Linked DNA regions of Oryzias latipes. The protein of the gene in region 1 interacts with the protein of each later gene in a pairwise test. Links are inferred from orthologs where the notes say so. Each region holds a gene or a part of one and is shown in the gene's direction. Other genes may lie near its edges.

What was found.
Region 2: the proteins of syntaxin-4 (region 1) and vamp4 interact in binary tests that used the Homo sapiens proteins (3 or more experiments, as listed by UniProt). The two-hybrid records come from large-scale screens. The link is inferred for Oryzias latipes from reciprocal best matches to the Homo sapiens genes STX4 and VAMP4.
Region 3: the proteins of syntaxin-4 (region 1) and sec22a interact in binary tests that used the Homo sapiens proteins (3 or more experiments, as listed by UniProt). The two-hybrid records come from large-scale screens. The link is inferred for Oryzias latipes from reciprocal best matches to the Homo sapiens genes STX4 and SEC22A.
Region 4: the proteins of syntaxin-4 (region 1) and bet1 interact in binary tests that used the Homo sapiens proteins (3 or more experiments, as listed by UniProt). The two-hybrid records come from large-scale screens. The link is inferred for Oryzias latipes from reciprocal best matches to the Homo sapiens genes STX4 and BET1.
Region 5: the proteins of syntaxin-4 (region 1) and syntaxin-6 interact in binary tests that used the Homo sapiens proteins (3 or more experiments, as listed by UniProt). The two-hybrid records come from large-scale screens. The link is inferred for Oryzias latipes from reciprocal best matches to the Homo sapiens genes STX4 and STX6.

Annotation. Positions count from the first base shown.
Region 1 is NC_019877.2:19,255,192-19,260,192, reverse strand, and holds the start of syntaxin-4, read left to right. Parts: upstream 1-1,514; 5' UTR 1,515-1,676; coding exon 1,677-1,706; intron 1,707-2,042; coding exon 2,043-2,150; intron 2,151-3,516; coding exon 3,517-3,616; intron 3,617-4,505; coding exon 4,506-4,580; intron 4,581-4,651; coding exon 4,652-4,722; intron 4,723-4,846; coding exon 4,847-4,955; intron 4,956-5,001. UniProt on the Homo sapiens protein: Plasma membrane t-SNARE that mediates docking of transport vesicles. Necessary for the translocation of SLC2A4 from intracellular vesicles to the plasma membrane.
Region 2 is NC_019862.2:3,864,857-3,869,852, forward strand, and holds the start of vamp4 (vesicle-associated membrane protein 4), read left to right. Parts: upstream 1-1,625; 5' UTR 1,626-4,996. UniProt on the Homo sapiens protein: Involved in the pathway that functions to remove an inhibitor (probably synaptotagmin-4) of calcium-triggered exocytosis during the maturation of secretory granules.
Region 3 is NC_019879.2:4,520,005-4,524,969, reverse strand, and holds the start of sec22a (vesicle-trafficking protein SEC22a), read left to right. Parts: upstream 1-1,419; 5' UTR 1,420-1,558; intron 1,559-2,359; 5' UTR 2,360-2,388; coding exon 2,389-2,570; intron 2,571-4,393; coding exon 4,394-4,557; intron 4,558-4,965. UniProt on the Homo sapiens protein: May be involved in vesicle transport between the ER and the Golgi complex.
Region 4 is NC_019869.2:10,286,280-10,291,076, reverse strand, and holds bet1 (BET1 homolog), read left to right. Parts: upstream 1-1,710; 5' UTR 1,711-1,852; coding exon 1,853-1,871; intron 1,872-2,053; coding exon 2,054-2,160; intron 2,161-2,297; coding exon 2,298-2,354; intron 2,355-2,736; coding exon 2,737-2,892; 3' UTR 2,893-3,795; downstream 3,796-4,797. Other genes in the region: probable acyl-CoA dehydrogenase 6, read right to left, coding at 3,918-4,008, 4,772-4,797. UniProt on the Homo sapiens protein: Required for vesicular transport from the ER to the Golgi complex. Functions as a SNARE involved in the docking process of ER-derived vesicles with the cis-Golgi membrane.
Region 5 is NC_019862.2:1,649,652-1,654,120, forward strand, and holds part of syntaxin-6, read left to right. Parts: intron 1-4; coding exon 5-99; intron 100-1,636; coding exon 1,637-1,696; intron 1,697-2,044; coding exon 2,045-2,173; intron 2,174-2,250; coding exon 2,251-2,357; intron 2,358-2,363; exon of another isoform or gene 2,364-4,272; intron 4,273-4,469. UniProt on the Homo sapiens protein: SNARE promoting movement of transport vesicles to target membranes. Targets endosomes to the trans-Golgi network, and may therefore function in retrograde trafficking.

The DNA of each region.
Region 1 (5,001 bases):
AGTGGGTGTGTAGTTTAATCACAGGCTTTATGCTGATGATTTGGCGGTCATGCATCTTTGTTCTGGCACTCTTCAGCAGCAGTTGTTGATGGTTTGCACTCAAAAAATCTGCATCAAGTTAAATCCCAGAACAAAGAGGTTATGGTTAGCACTAAAATCTAGAGATAATGTGTGGCACAGAAGATAAATCATGTTCTTCAAAGTAAAGCAATAAGATTTAATATATGTGTTAGAAAAATGTATATACCGGTAAGTTATCTCATATTTGCTTTTATGTATTACCTAGCTCTATAGGTAATATAATCATACATGCAGAAGTGTTTGTGTCCAAGTTCTGTTTCACAGGAAGGTGAAGGTGAAACTCTTGGGAGGAAACCGACTATCTTAGCGTCTTCCCAAGATCAGCATGAGAACTATGTGGTATCTGTGTCAAGACCGGAATCAAAGGACGCTCTGTGTCAGTTATCCGTGAGAAAAGGCTTTGCAGGTCCAAAGATGATGTGGGGAGACTGTGATAAGATGGACATGTTGCAATTAATATTTTCTGATGGCGCTGCAGTTGTGTTCAATCTGTCTTCCACTCCTTAGAGCTCAGCGCATGTGTAATTTAGGGAATTCCCAAAAAACTTAATAAAAGAGGAGGCGACAGAATATGTGAAAGAGTGGAGAGAGATTGTTGCTGGGTATTATCTCTGTTCACTCTTATTTTAACTCTTGTTTTAATTTTTAATTTGACAAAATGTTTGATTCATATTATTTTGTTCATATGTCAAATGAACAACAAAGTATTATGGCCACTATAAAAGCAGAAAAATTAACATTTATATATGAAAAAAGGTGTAAAATACAAAAAGTTTACATTTTAGAAGAACTAAGAAAACAATTACTACAAAAACGTCATGCAATTATCAAAAAGAAATTTTACAATTTTCAAGAATAAAGTCATATGTTTAAACTGTAAAAACTTGCAATTTTCAAAGAGATGTCATGCTTTTTTTCTTAAGTAAAGTGTTAAATTTAGTTTTTAAAAATTTTCAACTATGACAATTAAATGGTTCCTGTTTAAATGATGTTGCAGAGAAATTTGATGAATATCTATCACTTTGATTATGATTTTTTCTTTTTTGTTTTCTTTTTTGTAATTGCACAACTTTAGTTTCATGAAGTTATAACCTTAATTTAAAAAAACATGACTTTTTCCTTTTTAAATAATACATTTTCAACTTTATTTTTGGTAAATGTTGACTTTTTCCCCACAATTTTACGACTTCGTTCTCATATTTATATTATAATTTCATAATCATATTTGCTATTTATTCTTATTGTCAATAGTAATATAAAATAATAGTATATAATCATAAGTAATATAGTAATACTCTGTCAATTCTAATACTCCGTCGTACAAATATAGTATGGTTCTGGCTATTCCAATTGAATTAAACCAAAGCAGGTTTTGTTGCCTGTAGTAAAGGTGTCTGTCACAAGGGGGCGCCATCGATTAAATTCTGTTTGTTTGAACCGCAGAGGAAGAACTGTGAGAACTGTTGCTCTGGAGTTAAACTTGCTGAATGACAGCAGTGGAAAGTCCGCAGCTTTTGTTGCTTGGGAACCGTTGTCCTTCCTCGGCCGCGTGCTCGCAGCGTTTCCGACACCAACTCTGAACATCGACATCAAAAATGCGGGATCGAACAAAAGAGTTAGATAATGTAAGTTTTAAAGTTGGTGTGTTAGCAATAGCGTTAGCTTGCTAACCTAGCTGTATTGATTGTTTAAGTGAACTTTGAAATGCTTCGGTCTCTGATTATTTATTAACTGTAAGCCCGCATATGAGAGCAAAACAATATACCCCCCCCCCCCCCTTATTTTCTACGCTTGGAAGCACTTGTGGCGATATTGCTTTGCTAACGTCCGCTTGAGTTCTTCCTCCAAGGAAGCTGTCAGGCCGGGATAAGGGCAGGGCTCCCGGCTGCAGATCTGAACCGGCACCTTCACACAGCTCTGTTTCATCCTCCTCTTGTGTGTTTCTGTCCACCTCACCGCAGAAAGCCGAGGCCTCAGATGAGGAGAACGAGGAGAAAACGGCTTTGATGAGCAAACCTGGCAGCTCTTCAACAAAGGAAGATAAGGAGAATGAGGCTTTTTTCAAAAAGGTGATCATCCAAGTTTTCGATCTGGGCTCCTCCAAATGATTTGTAGTATTATCAGATACCGGATGTCCTGGGAAATGCTCCTCCAATGGGCCTCTGCTTCATGTTTATGAGACAGAGGACAGAGCTGAAGGTTTAGCTGTAACACACACAATTGTTTTGCCGACATTAAATTCTCCTCTAATCCCAGAACAAAAGGAAAGTAAATAAATATAAAAGGTCAACTATGAAGCTTTAAATATGAGTGAAACATTAACGGACAACAAACACTGGCCTGTATGTAGGGCTGCACTTAACAATATAAATAAAAGACTTTTAGTGGAAAAATGCAGATGTCCATAAAGTTTTGACATTTTAGTTGATTGTAGCCATCTTTAGTGTGTAAGACCTCCACTTATTATTTGATGCTACAGTTTACCAACTGTCCACGAAAGCAGCATTACTTTTACAGTGAGGGGAAAGAAATGCCATGTTTTATTTTGAAAATCTCTGAAAAGAAAGTTTAAATAAAGTGTCATAGAAGCTGCTATAAATTATGATCATGATGTTCAACTTGTTGCAAACTGTAGTTATAATGATCTAGAAGAGAAACATTAAAACAGAAAGAAGTAAAGAGAAGCATTTCCATATATTATCACGGTTTAACTTTTTAGGTTTTTTAAGTTTTGATTGAACTTTAATTGTTTGGAAAAAATAATTTCTATGCTAAGCATTTCCCCCCCCCCAAACAATAAAAGGGCTTTAGCAACAGAAATCCTCTTTTCAGGTTTTTATTTTAGTTTGGCTGAGTGAAAGAGTCAGACGGACACCAACAATAACACACAGTTGTTTATCCAACTGACTTTTTTCTCACATTAGAAAATCTTAGGATACTTTTTGTATCAGTTAAATGAAACATGTTCAAAGGTGTTGGTTTGTAATAATGGTGTTTCTATTTTCTCCAAATTTCTTTATATTTTTAAAATTCAGATGTTTTTCTTTGAGGGAGGCTGGAGTCAGATACCATCAAGATGGCAAAAGTTTCTGAGCATGTCTTTCAATCCAAACCATTTGTGAGGAAATCAAAATAAACTAAGTAAAGAGAGATGAAATCATAAAGTCAAGGCAGTTATGGATTTTATTTAAAGTCAAGGATCCATTATGATCTATAAACCTTGAGAAGATTCTAAAATAAGAGTCAGCAGAGGGATCTTTGTTCTAATATTTCCTTGGATTTCTTTTTTTTTTATACAAACACTGCATTTCCCAACCCATTAATTGAAGTTTTCTGATCAAAAAAGGTCAGGATGTTACAGTTGCAGTTAAAGCTGTTTGTCTGGGAAGATGATTTTGCCTGTTAATCCTAAAACTTTACAAACTTCTTTCTAAGGTGCAAGAAATCCACGAGGGGTTGCAGAACTTAAAGAGGATGGTGTCAGAGCTGGAGAACAAACAGAAGACGGTGCTGGGCGTGGCGCTGCCAGAGGAGAGTACGTCAACTTTATGAATTTGATAAATTCGTGTTGCATTTTGTAACAGAGGATCAGTGTAGTTGCACTTTAGGATTAGAACGACGTTTCTCCAGATTTTTCACAGGGATCCCACCAGAGTAAGGCGGGGCTAGTTGGGGGCGCCTTTCCAATCAGATTTTTAGGCTCAATGAGGGCACCAAATATGTTACAGATTAGTTTTCTCTATTGGATCGCAGTGAACATGTTTTTCTTTGTCGTCTTCTTCCAAAATGCAATTAAGGGAGCTCCTTTCATGAGGGTGTCTGATGCTTCTCTGCTGATCAATCAACTCCTGATTTAGTGATTTTTCTCAGTGGCAGATACTTTAGCACACAAAGGTGGTCAAAAATGAAAGGAATATAATAATAAAAAACAATTTTTTAAAAACATTTTTATGAATATCTCCTTGTACTTTGGTTTGTTTTGGGCCAAACACATGGCAGGAGCCCACAACTTGTTTGTACCGTCCAAAATGTCTCTGCTGGAGCTGTGAAAGAAATAAGAAATACAAACATAAATTCCTCCCTTCTCTCTGTCTTTAAATCCTAACGTTTACTCACAGTATCAAGACAAAAATAAATCATAAAAAAGAGGACAATTATTTTGACATTTTCAACACACCCTTCTTCTTTCTCTTCTCCTTTTTTGTTGTTTCTTTTTTTTTTGTGGTAAATGTGTTGAACTGATGCAGCTAACTTTAGTGGTATTTCGTAGATTTCCACACATCTTACAAAAAAAATGTCATCCTGAGACTCCAGTTGCATTCAATTTCTGACGTTGTGTGTTTTATTTCGACCACGGCGTGCTGCTCAGAAAACTCTCAAACTGAGGATCTGTGCTCATGAATGCTGTTTTCCTCTCGGGTTAGGTATGAAGAAAGAGCTTCAAACTCTTCGAGAAGAGATCAAAATATTAGCGAGCCAGATCCAGAGGAAGCTGAAAAGTGAGTATTTGGGAGTTCAAATCAAGAATTTTGTCTTCAAACCACTTAAGTTTCTTCTCGTCTCAACTGAGGTATTGAATCCAAAAAGTCGGACGATGATGGCAAATATATTCCCATAAATGTCCGGATGCAGCGCACTCAGGTAGCATCTTTACATATTTAAACAATAATTTTATCTATTTGACAGAATAGGCTTAAATGCAGAAATTTAGACTGTTGCATCCTCCTTGCTGCTTGTGTGAAATAAATTGGTCTGTTTTTCCCAGCATGCCATACTTTCCAAGGAGTTTGTGGAGCTAATGGGCCACTGCAACACCATCCAGGCCAAGTACAGAGATCGCAACGTGGAGAGAATACAGAGGCAGCTTAAAATAAGTGAGCTTTCTTGTCCCAGGCCGTCTGTTGGTGTTCAGGGACGTCG
Region 2 (4,996 bases), on another chromosome or scaffold:
AAGAAAGGTTGGTAATTTAGATCATCACTGATCAGATGATGACGTTTGTCCAGTGGTGGGTCGTCAAGGCCTTCTCTGAAGGCCTAAAAATATCTGAATCGTGTTAATTATTCACGTGTTATTTTCAATGCTTTTTACTTTCTGTAGTTGCAAAAAAAGAGATTTGTTTACGATTTTGTTTATTCAGTTTATTTAGAGGCATTTATCATGGCTACAGGAATTATCAATACGCAACGCAAAGCTCGTTTCTGCATCGTAAAATAGTTTATGCGGTGTTGAGTGATTCAGACGTAGCACTACTGAAAGCCCAGGGCCCTGTTCCAGAAAGCAGGTTATGTGAGCTACCACAGTAAGTTTGAGGCTAAGGAAGTTGATAACCTCAGCTTTCAGTTCCAAAAACAGAGGTATGTTTCAGGGTATGTCAAGTTGCCATGGCAACTCATGCTCTGAACATAACCTGGTCTGGAGCAGGTTTAGTTGAAGGTTAGTTTGTTTTCAGAGAGGTGAAGCAGCATGGCGTGTCCATTTGAAGATGATTTAGTGGATGAAGAAGCTCAGATAATACTTTTTCCACAGTGAAATGGTGATAAGACCACATATGGATGTTGGAAAGATAAACTTTTTTACTTTGATCTAACTTAATTATGTGCTTCAGTTAAGAGAAATCATTTTTAAGTCAGCTTAAAAATAACACGTAGTTATCAGTTATTTTACTTTCATTCAAATTAATTCAATTAAGTAGGTGTAACTTTGGTGCTGCTGTTAGATCGGCACCGCAAGGGATTGTGGGATACCATTCACTTTGCCTGTCTGGACGGATTTGGGTTCAAGTGTGGTTTTTTGACAAAATGTGTTTAGTTGTTTAGCTGTTTTAATGTGTTTTACCAAGTTATTTTACCCTGTTATGTTTAATTCTTTCAGCACCATGAGGGAGAGGGAGGAAGAGGATCACGAGTTTATTTAGAACCTTTACTGCCCAGTGGAGGAATATTTAAGTCAGAGAACAGACTTCATAATGTGGTTCCATTTTGTTTCATTCATTTTATTGTTATAAAAATGAGAAAATCTGCAGCCTCTTAGACATAGGAGAGTTCAAGAATTGCAATAAATTAAGATTGAAAAACATTTAATTAAACTGGAGTAATATGATATTTAGTTAGATAAATATGTAAATTTGAGTTGTAAAAAGAAATATTGAGTTGGATAGACGTAAGAAATTAGGTTGAATAAAGTAATAAGTAATTCATTTAAGTTGGATAAGTTATATATATATATGCGTCACAAGAATAATAGAAATAAGATCAGAAACTATTGCTTTTACTTTGTCCGTTATTTTTCTGCAAGCAGAAACTCTTTTTTTTCCTTTTTTCTTTTGATGATGCAGCCGTGTTACTTTTTTGATGGGTTTATAATCTTCATACGCCGTCATTAATCTCAGACTCCGTCTCACTGAATTGTAGCGCTCTCTTTTTTTCACCACGCGTTTCCATGGTGACTCCGGAAATCGGTGATCCATTGAGAATGTCTTTATGTACTTGCTGTGCACGTGCATTAACCCAGGGTTACCAAGTCGAGCGTAATTACGCTAACTCATATCCGGTCTTTTGGAACCAACATACCCAGAGTAAGCAAGTTCAGGCGGATTTCAGCCAGAGTTCAGGATTAAAGTCAGGGTAGTTTTAATATGCTCCCTGGAATACCCCCCTGGTTATCCATGTCTGGGCGTCCTATTTTTATTTGGTGCACAGGTCGAGACGCCAAGATGGCAGCACGCACTCTGTCTGTCTGTTAGCGTCCTGTGAATGAATGAGTTTATTTTTATTTTTTCTTAACGACTTTTAAGCTATTTTAGATTATAATTTATAGTTGTTTCTGGCCTTTCTGAGAATGGTATTTTGTTTATCAATTACCGTGCTTGTTTTTAGAAAGGCTAGCTCCGAAACTCTGTGAGTCAAAGCCTACTCGATTCATTAAGACCCAAAACCAGGGTTGGTTCACTGATATTCGAAGGAACGCTCCATTTTTTATTTTTATTTTTTTTATTTTTATTTTTTATTTTTTCGACGATCATGAACTGTATGCGGTCATCATGAAGATTATCACCGGGTGATCGTCGCTGGATTCCTGGCGTGACTAACCTTGACGGGCCTTATACTTCATCAATTAAGGGAAGTCCCAATTTACCTTCTATCGAAGCTGGCGCACTATTGTATATATTTTTGCCAAAGTTGAGATGCTGATGCCGTCCTGCCTTCCTAGCACCTGTGTGATATGCCCTATCCGAAGCAGATCCAGGAGCGCTTGGCTGGTTGATGAGCTTGCTATCTTTGTGTGAAGGAAAGTGCTTGATTCAACCCTCGGATCGTGTGATCTATACCCATTTAAAGTTGAACTAAGCTTGGGCAGTAATTTCGCTCTTTTTGCCCGCAGCTTTCAAGCTCCGTGTTCCTTGCTGTTTGTGTGGCACGTCACGGGAGGACGTCTGACAAAAAACAAAACAAAACAAAAAAAAAAAAAAAAAAAAAAAAAACGGCTCTCGGTGTATCCCGAACTGGATTCTGGCAGATATCTGGACTGAAGGCTGCCATGGCCAAAGTTTTAAATACCTTCCTTCAAAGCCCCCGGCAAATAATATCAAGGGCTGAAATATTCTTCCTGCTAACATTGGCCTTATATTCCATCGGAGACTTTGGCATTGCCGTAGCTCTTCGGGAGTCAGATGACTCCCGTCCAGTGAATCCAGTGTGTTGTGTATTTCATGCTGGAACAAAAACTTTTATTCATGAATGTCATAATGCATACGCATCTGTGTGTCTCTCAGACAATCCAAATGAACTGCTGCACCTCAGCTGTGTAATGGTTCTTCAGAAGAATTTTACTATAAACTCTACTATAGCATTCTTAAAAACGTTCCCATCTCTAGGACCTTCAAATGCAGTATGTAAGAAACCACAACTTCAAAGACGCCTCATCTTCTTATTGTTGTTAATCTCCGGGAATATTCCACCAAACCCTGGACCAGATAGTCCTACTTTTAGTACTCCTGAAGACTTCAAATCTCGTAATGGTCTTGGATTCATTCATCTCAATGTAAGGAGTTTATTGCCTAAAATGGATATGATACGCATTTGGGCAATTTCAACTGAAGCAGATGTAATTGTTGTTTCTGAAACATGGTTAAACAAATCAATAACTGACTTTGACATACATATCAATGGTTATAATGTTTTTAGGGCTGATCGTCCCAAAAGGGGGGGAGGTATAGCCATCTATATCAAAACTAAACTTAATGCAAAAGTTCTTCTGCAAACATCAATGGCAAAGAAATTTGAACTTTTAGCTCTTGATCTGGAGATCTCTAATTCTCTGCATATTACCCTAGTTGGTTGCTATAGAGCGCCCTCTGCTGATGGCTCTGCTCTTCCCTCTTTAATGGAACTGCTGTCTTCCTTAAAATACAATGAAGTTGTAATAATTGGAGATTTAAACTGGAACTGGTTGCAAGCTGTTTCTGATGATTTTAAATCTTACTGTGATTCCCTGAACCTCTTTCAATTAGTAAATGATCCTACTCGACCTAACCCCAAATTTCCGGAGAAATCCTCGCTAATTGATTTGATTCTTACAAATTCTCCTTCAAAGTATTCAACTGCTGCTGTATTTGCAAATGATATAAGTGATCACTGTATCATTGCTACATCGAGAAACACAAAAATGCCCAAAACCAAACCACACATTATCATAAAACGCAATGTCAAGCAATTTTGTGAACAATCCTTTTGTCAAGAACTATATGAATTTGACTGGCACACGATGATGGAAATTGATAATGTTGAAAGGGCCTGGAGTTATTTCCATAATGAATTTACAAAAATCCTTGATAGACATGCTCCTATCAGGCACTATAAAGTGAAAGGTCGTAATAATCCGTGGTTTAGCTCAGATTTGGCTAACCAACTACATGAAAGGAATGTAGCATGGGCAAAAGCTAGACATTCTGATAATGCATCTGACTGGCTGGCATTCAGAAAACTACGCAATGCTTGCACTACTGCAATTCGAAATGTGAAATCTGACCATTTTTTGAAAAATACTACAGAAAATTTAAATAATCCCTCAAAGTTTTGGAAGATAGTTAAGTCCCTAAATGAAAATAATTCAGGTATTGAGCTCCCTTCAAGTATAATGAAAAACACTTGTAATATAACAGACAAGACAGAGATGCTTTTATGTTTTAATGAGCATTTTGTTTCCTCTGGATCATTATTTAATTCTATAAAACATTCAGCTGAGTACTCCCTCCCTGTGAATCACGAAGATTTAATACATAATTTCTCATTTTCCCTCTTCACAACTTCAGAAGTCTCAGAAGCCCTTAAACTCCTTGATCCTACTAAATCTGCTGGTCCTGATGATCTGGAACCATATTTTATAAAAGCGGCAGCAGACTCTATCGCACTTCCACTGACCTATTTATTTAATTTGTCTTTGTCCACAAACACCATTCCGCATGCTTGGAAGTCCGCTTATGTGTTACCTCTACTTAAAGGTGGTGACCCAACAAATTTGAATAACTATAGACCAATTTCCAAGTTACCCATTTTGGCAAAAGTTTTGGAAGGTCTTATAAGCGTACAATTAAAAGAATTTCTCATTTCAAATAATATTTTAAGCCCATCACAATCAGGTTTTAGAAAGCAACACAGCACAACAACCGCAGCTCTTAAAGTTTTAAATGACATATCTGAATCTCTGGATGACAAACGCCACTGTGCCGCCCTTTTCATCGACCTCTCTAAAGCCTTTGATACTGTGGACCATGCTGTGCTTAAAAATAAACTGCGCAGTATTGGGCTGTCAGAGCATTCTGTTGGGTGGTTTGCAAACTACCTGTCTGACAGGACACAGTGTGTAAAGGTTCAGAACCAAAAATCAAAATTTTTAAAAGTATCCGCAGGGGTTCCACAAGGCTCGATTCTTGGGCCACTGCTTTTTA
Region 3 (4,965 bases), on another chromosome or scaffold:
AATCTTTCGATTTAAGGTCAATCACTCTATTGGTGACTGTTGTGGGTACCTAAAATTTTGTTCAGATATGTCTAAAAGCTGTCATAATGACAATACTAATGTCAATTTACCGTTATGAAAGGTCAGATTTACTCGACACGATGCAAAAAGAAGCAAAAGCAGTCGTATTTTTAGAAAAACCTCTCTGCTCTAAAAAAAAGTTGATATTGTTGGTAAAAACCAGCTGGCAGCGATCAATTTGAATTCAGTGGATGTTCCCGATCTTCTGTTTAGATTGTGTCACTGCAATAACAGCACTGCTGTCCCCACACCTGACACTTTCCTGCTCTAAACACTCAGAGAAATCTGTGGCTATTCATCAACCTGTCAGCAGCAGCTCACATCCATCATCCACTTTCCATCTTTCCCCCCTCTTTGTTGCTGTCCTCCCCCACCGCCCAACACACACGGGCCATGAAGGTCCCCTCAGGCTGACACACTGCCTGAGCTCAGGAGAGATTGCACAGGTATCTGTGAACGATGAGGCTGCCTACCATCTCCTCCAGTCACAGTCATTTCTTCTTCCTCTCACACATTTTACTAGGGAAATGTATGAACGCTGGGGGGGTACAAAGTAACTGGCCTATTTCATGTCTGATCGGAGCAACAAAACTTGGCCGCTCATGTATACACATTGTTTATTTTTAATGCCTTGGTCCTAGTCCAAAAAATAAACTGCAACATCAGATGCTTTGAAATGAGGCTAATGTTTAACTGGCTTTCAGTGGAAAATAACATCTGGAGCAAGTTGCAATCCAAATGATCAATATTAAGAACTTCTAAAAGTGATTGATTAAAATATAATAATAGGAACGTATATTAAAATCTGAGATAAAGGGGAAGTGTTCACTGTTCTTACAGGATCCTTCTGTCATAATTTATCTATCGCCTCAATTTGCAGAGAAGCTGCGTTTTAGTCTTCTACGCCTTGTCTCCATTTTTTCTTACACACTGTTGTCAGACATCACACCTGAAATGTTCCTCCTGCAATCTGCAAACTGCAATCCACATTCACTGAAAGCATTTATGTTGTGCTATACCTTCTTAGAAGGCCCAAATGCTCTACAGTCATAGATCCATTCATCCATGTAAACACACCCTCACGCTCTGTTGTCGAACACTGGTGCTAACTTGTAACCATCAGGAGCAATGTGGGGCCAGGCAGGGGATGCAGAGAATATATAGACAGATGAAGGCAGATGATTCACTGTGGTGACCCTGGCTGAAGGGAACAACTGACAGGCAAAGAAGAGGGAACAAGTATCTATAAAAGGGTTGCTTCTTTACGGAGTTATACGCTTTTTTTTCGTTCCTGTATTTAATTATGCTTTTTTTATTTCTTTTTTTTAATTTTCGGTTTTTAAAACTAATTGAATCAAATTTCCCTTCGTGGTGACGTTCGTGAGTATCTTTACCCACAATGCACAGCGACAGAGCCACGTAAACAGAACAGAGGAACTGGAGTATTTTAAAGCTGCACGTTGTTAGATGTCCGCATGATGTTACATTTTTTCTCCAGGTATCACTTTTTTAGTCAATTGTATTTGTTTCTCCGACATTTGCTGATTTCAATTTATATCCCTTTGCTTTTGTTAAAATAGTTAGCAACGTCATGTACCTGTACTTGCATCTTGCTAGCAGCTAACGCTAGCTAACCTGCCAGACGATTAACCTGGTCGCTTTCTTTGCATTTTAGCCCGCATACTTTTGCTTTGTATTTACAGTTTTGCACATCAGATCCAATTTATGCAACGTCCCAATGTACACGTTTGTTGTGTAGAAGTTTTTTTTCTTTCTACTTCTAAGAGCTAAGCTAAGTTGCTAATTCTCAACACTGGATGTGCTGCTAACAAGAGAGCTATTGTTTATGTCATCAGTAATATTCGTTTGTGCAGTTTGGAGGAAGTGTTTACTTCATAGCGAAATGTCCCCATTTCTGTTGAAGATAAATTTCGGGAGAGAAATCACTTCCTCTTTACTTTAGGGTGTCTTCACGTGGCTACGGAGCTATCCATGGTTCTGACAAACGGTCAGTGCTGGATCAGCATCTTATGTCAAAAAGAGTTGCTTTAGCTTTAATGTGAAATCCTTTAATATATATATTCACTACAGAGGAAACTTTATAACAGACGAAACTTAAAATATGCTAACATTTCTGACATACAGATACTGATCCAGACATTTCTACCTGTAAAAGTTTACCTGTCCAGTTAAGTCAGTCATAGACCAGATGGATATACAAACGAGTGAAGGAGACCTGTAAGCATTATATACCTGTGTCTGAGCACGTTTTATTTCCTGCTTTTCCCTCTGTTTGCAGATCTGCAGTGAGACATCCAAAGCTCTAACATGTCGATGGTGTTGTTTGCTTCGGTGGTCCGAGTTGGAGATGGTCTTCCTCTCTCAGCATCAACTGATTATGAGATGGAGAAAGAGCTTCAGGAGACAAAGAGACACCTCAAAGGGCTTTCAAGGAAGCTCAACCAGTTCCCTGACCGCTGCACACTTAAGTCTGGACCATATAATGTAAAGTAGGTCTCATTCCATGCTTTTTCTGCCCAAAAAAAAAACGTTTTACTAGGCGACCATATTTAAGTAAATTAGGCATTAAAAAAAGATATTTGTTAGGATTTTCACTTCCAAAACAGGCCCTGTTGAAAGAAGTCAAAATTCTTTCCCCACCGTCAGATTGTCTTTTCTTAAAAATAAGCAAAAAAAAAAAAGAAAGAAATCTGCCAATTGGATCAGAAAAATGGTTTAAAGAATAATTCCTATTTTAAGAAAAAAAAATTCTAGGCACAAAGACATGTTTTCTCAAACTCAGATTATTGCACTTTTGAGAAACTTTCTTGATAATGTTGGGTTTCTTGCAAGACAGAAAATGAGACATTTTTTCTGAAACAAGGCTTTTTATTTTCTTAGGATTTAGTGTTGCGGTTTGGAAAACAAAGCAACTGCTTCACAGAACAGTTGTAAACAACAAATATGTCACCTTTAAAAAGTAGCTAGTAGCTACGTTGTGGCTTTGGAAATGGCCCGGCGTAGCAAACCCTTAAGTGGTGAGGAGTTTGTAGAAAGAATGTATTCTGAAAGCAGCTTACATTGTTTGTCCAGAGCTAAAAAAAGTCTGTCAAATGATACAATTACTAGACGAGTAGAAGATCTGGACAGCAACCTCCGGGTTAAATATCTGGAGGGCCTGTTAATTGTACAAACAACACTTGGTCATTAAAGTTATTAAAAACAACTTTTTCTGTTTATCCATTTTTTTTTTCACCAAAATTGTTCCCCAGTCTAATGTCAAGTTCTTAATTTGGCCCTCTGCGACAGAAACTTTGAGAACCCCTGCTCTAAGTAATACTTAGATTAACTCAGCACCATACATTATAAAACTACCATTTCTTCTTTTTAAAGAATTTCACTCGTCACGTAGCCTGGCCCATCAGATGGGTGTAAAGGCGTCACATCAGAGTATCAGCTTTTTTACCCTTTAACACCAGAGGCGTTGCTGCTGACACATTTTAACTCACGCCCTTTGAGAAAGTAAATCTTTGACCAATCAACGTGAAGGAACTGTTTCTGACGGCTTTGCGTATCATCTTTGCACCGTAATGCAACACATGACTTAAGTGATGCATATCAGGACAAACTGCTTTTCTCCGCTTCAGAATTACGTCAATTGCGTAAACGGTTAAAGAGTGCTTGTTAAAATGTTTTAAACACTGGAACTAAAGCTCTGATTTTGAAGGCTTAAGTTCAAAGATTTGGGTCCTCCCGTGACTTTCTTTTGCTGTGAGGTCCGTGTTCTCTGTTTAAAAAATTTAAGAAAGATTTCTAGTCAGTCTTTTGCGTAATAAAATGCCCCTGTCAGATTTTCTGTACTCACAACATAAAACTTGATTTTGATTTTAAATTCAAGAACTAACTGTCGTCACGTCTAGAAGCCTTTACTGCTTCAATCTAAATCAGACTGAAATGTATGTATGGTCTTTATTTTTTGTTTTTTACACCAAGGGTACATTAACACAGGTTTGATTTGCACCAGGGATGTTTCTTTTGGGTCATTAGCTATTTCATTGTTTTTTTATTATTTAAATATGCAAACTGGGTCCTCCCGAGAGGAGGAAGGAGTGTCTCAATCCACCTCAGGGTGAAGGGAATGAACGACAAAAGCACAAGATGTTACGAGGGCTAAAAATAAACTGACCAGTTTGAACGTTTTCACTAGAATGGCAACCATAGTAAACCTGGTGTAGTGAGGACCTACAGTCCTTTATTACTACTGTTGGTTTTCTTCTTCTTGATGAAGTGCACTGAGAGTAACAATGTTTTCTGGATGTTCTGTGGGTATTAGTTTCACCAGCTCTCTGGGTGTTGGATATCTGATGGTGTGCACTGCGAATTACCCAAACGTGCTGGCATTCTGCTTCCTGGACGAGCTACAGAAGGAGTTCATCGTCACCTATGACCCCAAACGTATCAGCAGCGCCGTGCGGCCATACTCCTTCATTGAATTTGGTCAGTCTTAAGGAATTTCACATCAACTTCAGATTCATAGAAATATGCCTGAGTGTCAGGGCCACCATAAAAATAATAATACTATTAAATTTACGACTTTATTCTCGTAAAAAAAAGCAACTTTTTTTTTTTAAATGAAACAACCAAATAACTTAAAGTTCCGCTTTGATTGTTCCGTTGATGTAGTCCTTTTTCTAAAATGATTATTTAAATTGTTTTTTGAAACAATTTGTCAAGTGGGAGGAGTCACAAGTGTATCAGCTGACTGAAGAATACACACTTTTGAATTTGTAAATATAAAAATGTTTTTATGCATTAATTCTGTCACTTACTGCAAAAGTGTTACGTTTGGACAAAGCTGGTTTCAGATTAAGTTCATACTAGCCAACGTTGACATGTTGAAAGTTG
Region 4 (4,797 bases), on another chromosome or scaffold:
TCTATCTATCTATCTATCTATCTATCTATCTATCTATCTATCTTTATCTATCTATCTATCTATCTATCTATCTATCTATCTATCTATCTATCTATCTATCTATCTATCTATCTATCTATCTATCTATCTATCTATCTATCTATCTATCTATCTATCTATCTATCTATCTATCTATCTATCTATCTATCTATCTAATCTATCTATCTATCTATCTATCTATCTATCTATCTATCTATCTATCTATCTATCTATCTATCTATCTATCTATCTATCTATCTATCTATCTATCTATCTATCTATCTATCTATCTATCTATCTATCTATCTATCTATCTATCTATCTATCTATCTATCTATCTATCTATCTATCTATCTATCTATCTATCTATCTATCTATCTATCTATCTATCTATCTATCTATCTATCTATCTATCTATCTATCTATCTATCTATCTATCTATCTATCTATCTATCTATCTATCTATCTATCTATCTATCTATCTATCTATCTATCTATCTATCTATTCTATCTATCTATCTATCTATCTATCTATCTATCTATCTATCTATCTATCTATCTATCTATCTATCTATCTATCTATCTATCTATCTATCTATCTATCTATCTATCTATCTATCTATCTATCTATCTATCTATCTTATCTATCTATCTATCTATCTATCTATCTATCTATCTATCTATCTATCTATCTATCTATCTATCTATCTATCTATCTATCTATCTATCTATCTATCTAAGATAGCACAAGGGTTAAAGATAGGGTGAGGAGCTCGGTCACCTGCAGAGAGCTCGGAGTAGAACCGCTGCTCCTCCACATTGTGAGGAGCCAGTTGATGTGGCTCAAGCATCTGGTCCAGATGCAATGGTCACCTCCCTTGGGAGGTGTTCCTTGCATGTCCCACTGGGCAACAAAAATGGCGAGCAATACTGGAGCTATCCAGTTGTCCAGTTTTGATCCAGATGCCAGATCAGACAAGTAAAACAAAGACATACATGAATCCAGTCGACAACAAGTGGATCCATCAGAACTCAGCAGGGAGGTAGGTGCCAGTATTTTTGTCTGCTCCTGATTAACAACAATTGGAATAAAGAAACACTCAGAAACCCAATTTGAAGCCTAAATATCTTAATTAATGTTCGCCATCTTCCAACAAATGCCACAAGAACATGTTAAAACACTAAAAACACAATCTTCATCTGAGTGGGGTTTTAAATGGTGATTCTCTTGAACAATTTTCAAATAAAAGATGAGAAAAAGAACAACATTTTCTTTCTGAAGGCACAGTGACTTTATTCTGATTAGAAAACAGACAATGCAAATAAAGAAAAGTATTAAAGAAATAGCAACAGCAGAATTGCAGCTACAAACATGGTGTTTTAAGAGTGACATAATACTTAAATCCTGTTTCATGTGCGATGATTGGGTCTCGTAATTTAGAATTAAAAGAAGAAAGAAACACAATAGCAAAAATCTGGATTATTTATTCAGTAACAATGTAATTTTAGAAACTACAAAAACAATAAAAATAATAATATTAATTTGTCAAAAGATTATATTATTCAATATACCTTTTCAAAATGTGGAATAATATTTGGGTATTTAGTACCCAAAGGGATAAACGTACACTATTTTAGGAATCATTTACTTGATTTTTTTTTGTGGATTTTTTTTAGCTTTTACATTATTACATAGGATTTGTCCTTCTCGGCCACCGTATGATGTCGTGGCGTTTCCCTATGTGTAGAGACTAGACCTCTGATTATTTTTAAACTTTTCATTGTTTAATTCTTCGGAATATACTGTGGACATTTTCGGCTTCAGTGAGTAAGGATGAGACGCGCTGGTTTGGGTAAGAAACGAGTCTAAAACTGGGAAGTTTCAGATCGCTAGCCAGCTAACATGGTAGCTAGCATTAGCTAATGTTGTTTTCACTGGTGGATGGATGCAACACTCTGAGGCGTAGTTACATTTTTAATAAGGCTCTTGGCTTTATTCTCAGCATTTAATATTGTTTTTTGTTGTCTTGTGTAGGTGAAGGAGGCTCCGGGAATTATGTGGCGAGTGGCTACAGTGTTTATGAGGAGGAAAATGATCATTTACAGGAGGGACTGAGAGCTAAAGTCAGCGCCTTGAAAAGTGTAAGACCAGCTGCGACACAAAACTGTGCCTTCGTCTGTCACTATTCACTTGTTTCTGTTACCAATTTCTAGTTTTAAAAGCTATTTTACAAGTTTTACTTATCTAACAATCAATTCCTGTCTCTTGTCATTCCCAGCTGACTATTGATATTGGAACAGAGGTTAAATACCAGAATAAGATGTTGGAAGATATGGTGGGTTTCTCTTTGTATTTAAATGGCAAAGAAGTACCTTTACAGTTACTCTAAAGTCCTCACTCCTATGAAAAATGGTTTTAACATGTTCTTGTAGCAGCTTTCTCATGATGTATGGCATAAAAAGAAACAAAGATTAAACTTGTGTTTCTGAGTATTTCTTTATTCAAATTGTTTTAAATCGGGAGCAGACAAAAAATAAATCAAGCTTGAAAAAGAGTTTATTTTTGCTGTAGAAAATTGATTCTGGCTAAAAACAGCAGAATCATAATTAAAAGACAGAGGGACAATAGCTCAAAGAGTGGGATTTTAATAGTACCGACTTAGTAAACATTTTCTTGGATTTGAAGCGGTTCCTGATCCCCCCCTCATCTCTTCACAGGACTCGGACTTTGATTCTACAGGCGGACTGTTGGGAGCCACCATTGGCAGAGTAAAGCAGCTGTCCAGAGGGAGCCAGACCAAACTGCTCTGCTACATGCTGCTCTTCTGCCTTTTTGTCTTCTTTGTCCTCTACTGGTTCATCAAGCTGAGGTGATAAGAGCATCTTGTTGGACTTTGCCCCTTAGCTCCACGTCTTCATTCCCATTCACTAGCAGCTCTGACCTAAAAAAACACTTGTTCAATTGGTTAGGTGGGGATTTTTTTCTTTCGAGCATCATTTTGTTTCCTGATGTCCCCTAAATGAGCCATGAAAGGGCTTGAAATAGAAAATAGACAAGAAATAAACTTTGAAAGTGTTCATCTTTAACAAGGCAAATGACCCAGGAAAGCACCTTGTATACCATTTGTATACCTAACACATTAGTATTTGTGTTGCACAGCTACAGCTCAGTTATGATTAAACAAACAGGATCCACAGTCCAAGATACAACAGCTGCTGATGAGTTATTTTTTGTAAATGAGGTTAAGGTGGTTTGAGCTGTGGAATAATTAAACACAATTTGGTGTACTTATGTCAAGGAGGGAGTTGATATGGACAGGTTTGAACACAAGTACGGTAATTACAACTCATGTTGATGAGTTTTGGACAGCCAAATGAATTAAAGGCTGCCGATAGTCCTAAAAACCTAAAATCACAACTAAACAATTCAGTCTTAAATGCTGCCAGAGCAAAGTTTCCATAATAAAACACAATTTCAACATTGTTTTTTGCTATTTTAATTCTTCTGCCACTGATTTACAAACTATGAGCATAAACATTTGTTATACAAAATTATGTCAATCTTATTTCAACTGTTCAGTCCCATAAATGTGGACACACACAGTGCAGCACATAAGGGACACGTCTGTATTACATCACCTGACATTGTAAATCACCACAGAGACCTTCATTCTTGAGTAAAAATGTAAATAAAAACAGATTTTATGGCATCGTTTGTGTTTCCATGCTGGATGTGTTCAAAGCGTTTAACATAACTTCATCAATAAAAGAAGCAAACAATTACAAGAGATTTCCAAACTAATTTTTTTTTTACAAATATCTGAACAGGTCAGGATGGTTTAAAATTGCACTCTTGTATTAATTATCATCGTCTGAGCAGGAATCTGCTGCAAATGACATCACTTCCGGGGTAAAGTGTCCATGAACTTGCAGATTATTCCCAGCATCACCTCATCAGCCCCGGCGCCGATGGACAATAACCTGGAATCCCTGGAGGAGAGAGAAAAAAAGCAACAACACACTTCTGTAATTAACTGTCACTCAGGTGCTCATAAGTCCAGTCTTTGCATGAAAGTTCAACTTCAAGTCTCTAGTCTGTCAAACTTTAAATTAAACCGCAAATCTTAAGACTTGCAGTAAAAAAAATGAACATTTATTTGGTAATTAACTAGTAACCCTTGTGCTATTCTAGGCACTTTAATATTGGGAGTTGGGTCATCTAGACCCACTAGACAGTGCTCTGAACCTTTTTTCTTCAATGATTTGTGATCTTCACTGGTGTCCATGGATTAAATGAAATCTTTCCACCTTTGTCGTGGTAGGGAGAACACGTCAAAGTAAGGGTGGGGTCATCTAAGATAGCACAAGGGTTAAAGCAGACAGCTGGTGTTTCAGTCCAAGAGGCTTTTATTTTTAGACCTAACAATGATTTCCATGTAAACAAATGAACCTTTTTTTATAGGTCTAAAACCTCCAATTCTTGAGGTTGAGTCTTAATTCATGTAAGACCTGAGTTTAAACCCCATCTTTGGTACCACTTGATGCTATAATAGCTTCAAGAGAAGAACTAGTAAGTTAACACATTTCTTCGTTTCTCCATTAGGTTATTGTAACCATAGAAACACCCAATACATTAGCATAATTTACCCTCAGATGTCAGAGTATTTATAATGTTTATTGTTTGATCTTTACCCTTTTTGTAAAATAAACACATCAAAACCGGATGGATTTTCTTAAGTAATCGAAGTCTCACCTGTAAAATCTGCTAACCATCACATC
Region 5 (4,469 bases), on another chromosome or scaffold:
AAACGCATAGTAGAGTCAAACCCAAAGAAGTTTAATCTGGATGCAGCGGAGCTGTCAAAGAGGAAGGCCTTCATCACCAGCACCAGACATATGGTCAGGGTAAGCCTCCGCCACACCTCAGATGTGAACTCGCTTTGGGAGGAACCCCAAACGTCTGCAGCACGGTGGTCTGGTTCCCTTCGGTTTGGTCAGTCTGGTAGTTCATTGAAATAGTTGAAGACCAATGGCTCCTCCAAGTACAGCCCTCAAAGATTTTAAAAGTAGAACTCATCACATCTGGAGAGAATGGTGGCCTGACGCTGGGCAGCATAACAGACCCCTAAACTAAAAAGATGATCTTTACTGTTCAGCTGTTTGCACACATAATGAATGATTATCCTTTAGAAAGCATCCCCTCCACAGGAACACATTTGGTCTGGAAAGGTTTGGTTTGTTTTTTAATAGCAGCAAAGACATCAGTGGGATAATGTCACGTGTCACGATTCCCTAACAAGGAATACTTATTCTAAACAAAACAACATGTTACAGCTGTCTGAATGGTGGGCCTGACAGAGTAAAGAGGGAGTTTTGTTGAGTCCATCTAAAAACAAAAAACAATACAGAAAGGAAGGCCTTCATAAAATCAACTTCAGTGATTTTACAAAAAATAAAGCACAAAAGATCTTTCAGACAAGACGGTAAATATATATTTTTAACGTCTTATTTTAACACTATATTTAACTGAAAGCTGATTTAGTTCTGGGGAACTGCAGCTTTTTCAGGAGTGCTTCAGATTTACGAGGGGGGGGGGGGGTGCTATAGCACAGTTTACATCAGAAATCTAACCATACATGCCCCATTAGTTATTTTCTTAACACGGATCAGTTGTCTTGGACTCCTCCCCCCTGGCGCTCCAAACAGGAAGTACCCGCTGGTTTCAGGAAGTCCCATAGAGCCTATAGAGAACTAAACAGCTGTTATTCAGTCATCCTATTGGCCAGAAGAACCATTCTGGATCTGATACCTTTTTTAACATCTTCTTGATAATCCAAATTTAGTATTTTGTATTTAAACTTATTCAAGTTACAAACGGACCAATCAGATGCCTCAATAAAAGTAGGAGGAGCCTGCTGGCCCCCAGGTTGAACGTTTGACAGATTTTCTGTAGCTCACGTTTAAGTGTTTGGTGTGAGTGGTTACCATAGAAACGATGACTCAGACCAATCACTGCATACTGTTCCAACATGGTGGCGTTTGTGTTGGGGAAAAAACGTCAACAGAAGGAAGTAACCCATTTTCTGTAGATGACGACACACTTCTCACTCCTGTTCTCCTAAACAGTCAATAGTTTTGAGGGTTTTTAAACTTCAAACAAAAACTTTCATCACTTTGAATCCAAGCTTTACTATAAGATATTCTTAAGTGACATGAGAGGACAAAGAGAACTTCTTATTTCTGATCAAAATTTAAAAACCTGTTTACACAGAGTGCCATATAATTATATCCAACTTTTTTTTCATAAAATACATTTTTTTAGTTCTGGTTCATCGCTGTTGTTATAAGAGTGAGACGCCATGACCAAGTTTTCTGTAATGAACCATAAATCCATGTATGTGACGTCTTCACTTCGTGACATAGTCTGCCGTTTCTTTTCTAGGAGATGAAGGAGCAGATGTCGTCTCCAGGAACGGCTTCCTTGGACGGGAAGAGCAAACAGGTACCAAGTCTCTCTCCTGGTTAGACAAATGCTACCTTTGACAGAGGATGACATCATGAAACTTTGTCCTAAACTCCAGTACAGCGCTCCCTCGTTTATAGCGCGAGTTACAATCCCCTGCTATAGTTGTCATCCACAAAGTGGGGGATCTATTTTTTACAATAAGCACAGATGCTTGAAGGCAGTAAAACTCCTCACTACAGACTTTATCCCTGATATCTCTCCCCTGTTTTGTCTCTCATAGTTGAAGTTTACATTTGAAGGCAATTACAGGCCTCTGAACCCACACATTTAATGGCTGATTGAACACTTCTGTTGCTCCACTGTATGCTTTTCTTTTGTGTTCAGGCTTTGCTCGGTGAGCGTGGAGCTCAAGGACGCATATGGCAGCCCGGTTCAGACAAATACCGCCGTCTTGACCATCAGCTGCAGAGCGCCAACAGTCAGTTCATTGAGGAGGCACAGGTGCAGCAGCAGGTACAGACGGACCGAGAACAGATGGGGGCATGGAGGTGATGCTGAGCCCAGACCAAACGCTGGTGTGTGTGTTTCAGCTGATCGCAGAGCAGCAGGACGAACAGCTGGAACTGGTGTCTGGGTCCATCAACGTTCTCAAGAACATGTCTGAAAGAATCGGCGTGGAGCTGGACGAACAGGCTGAGTAAGAACCACAAGCTGACCCTTTAAACACATTAATGCCAAATATGACATCACCCATTTGCCAACGTCAACACCTGATAATGGCTGACCGTTTATGAATCTGCTGTGTTGTGATGGTGAAATTGTGGATTAATTATAAAAAAATAAATGTAAATACTTTTTTTAATTAAAAATAACAAGTCGTTCAAATGCAATGCATTGAAGTCTTCCAGATTTTGGAATAGTAGATTTGCCCAGCACTACAGAAAGTGCACTGTGTAGAGAGCAGTGAAGGAGTTCAGTCACAGTCTAGGGGTCTTGATCAGTGCTGCTCACTCCTGGTCGTCCTACCACCCCGTCTAGAAAACCCAGTTTTCTACATCTCTAATCCCTGCTTGGTTAACTCAGTCAGGTGCTTCCACATTCTGATTGAATAAACACACCTGGTTCAGGTAAAAGGTAGCATGATTCGGTTCATTTAGAAATGAAGGACTCAATGTGTTGCTGAGAGCTTCAAGACTTACCAGATAACAGCTGTAACAGAAGCTCACTTCAACAGCATATAAACAGGTCAACTTCGGTACTATATGTGTATTACACAGCAGATGTTAGAAGGAGCCACAAAGTTAAATTGTTGCCACAATCAAATAAGGGAAAAATAATTACAATTTTGCCCCTCTCACGATGCCGTTGTGGAAAAAGGGCTCATCAAAATCTGGTTTTGGTCCTTCTTTGCCAAATTCTAGTTGTTAAGCTATAAAGACAGGAACTGTTAAATAACAAATTTCTTGTTTTATGGTAATTGCACATCATGTTCTTATTGTGAAAGGGCCGGTTGGATGGGATGGGTCGTTGTTGTGTTGATGATGGTGGAATGAATAAAGAAAACGTTACGCTGCGAAGTGAATTTCAATTTTGTTTAACATTGGTAGCAGGGGATGATTAGCAACTACAGAGTCCTACAAACCTTTGACGAAGGAAAACCGTACAAAAGTTGGAAAAAATAAGTTGGACCCGAGTTACAGACCTTGAAAAGAAGAAGCAAGCACTCTCCGTTCCTTTGGCGCTTTCTTCTGGGCAAGCGAGAGACGTGGCGATAGAAATATCAAAGGAGGATTTGCTCAAGGACACAGGACACGTCACTAATAAAGCTAGATGATCGGTTTCTCAAAGAACAAAGACCGGACCTACTCAAGTTTGGATAACGAGAGACAGTAATGTATCCGTGACGGATTAGATAATTGATTTTGAACAGCGGTATACTCAAATGTGTACATACAAGAGGGATCTTCCGGATGCAGTATGAGCATTTTGTTATGTGTGAATAGATTTAGTGTCTCTTGGATGCTGTGCTTGCTGAGTACAGCAAGACTCATCTCTGTCAGCAAAAGAAAAAGATCTGCTCACGCCCAAGATTGGACAAATTCTCTGGGTTGCAAGGCAGAGTCGACCAAAAGTCTTGTTTGATGCTTTAAATCCATGAAACGAATAGAACGGTGTGCAAACTGAAATCCAGTGAGGTGGCTCTGAACTTTGAGCTTCTAGGCAGGGACTCAGCCCTCAAGATGAGGGTGTTCAGTGATGCCTCATTTGGCAATCTTTCAGATGGAGCCACTCAAGAAGGAAACCTGATAGTTCTAATGGGAGAACGTGGAAAGTTTTCACCGCTCCCCCTCAAAGAGAGTGAACAGAATTGTGAGGAGCACACCTGCTGGAGAAACACTGGCAATGTCTGATGGAACTGACAATGCACCGTTTGCAGCAACACTGTTCTCTGAACCAACGACTGAACACGCTCCACCCATAATCTGTGTCACAGATTCACTGGCTGACGCACTGAAGTCTGTCTGGAAAAAAGTGCCAACTCATCCAAGCAGAGTTGAGCGAGTGTTGTGGTACAACGTGAAAGAACAACTTGCAGACTGCTTTACCAAAAGGTGCATCTGTTAAGGCTCACTCTCTTTACACCTCCCTGTTTTTGGGGTTCTGGGATTGGAGCTCAGCACAGAGAAAGCATGTTCCTTAACACATTGCAAACGCATAGTAGAGTCAAACCCAAAGAAGTTTAATCTGGATGCAGCGGAGCTGTCAAAGAGGAAGGCCTTCATCACCAGCACCAGACATATGGTCAGGG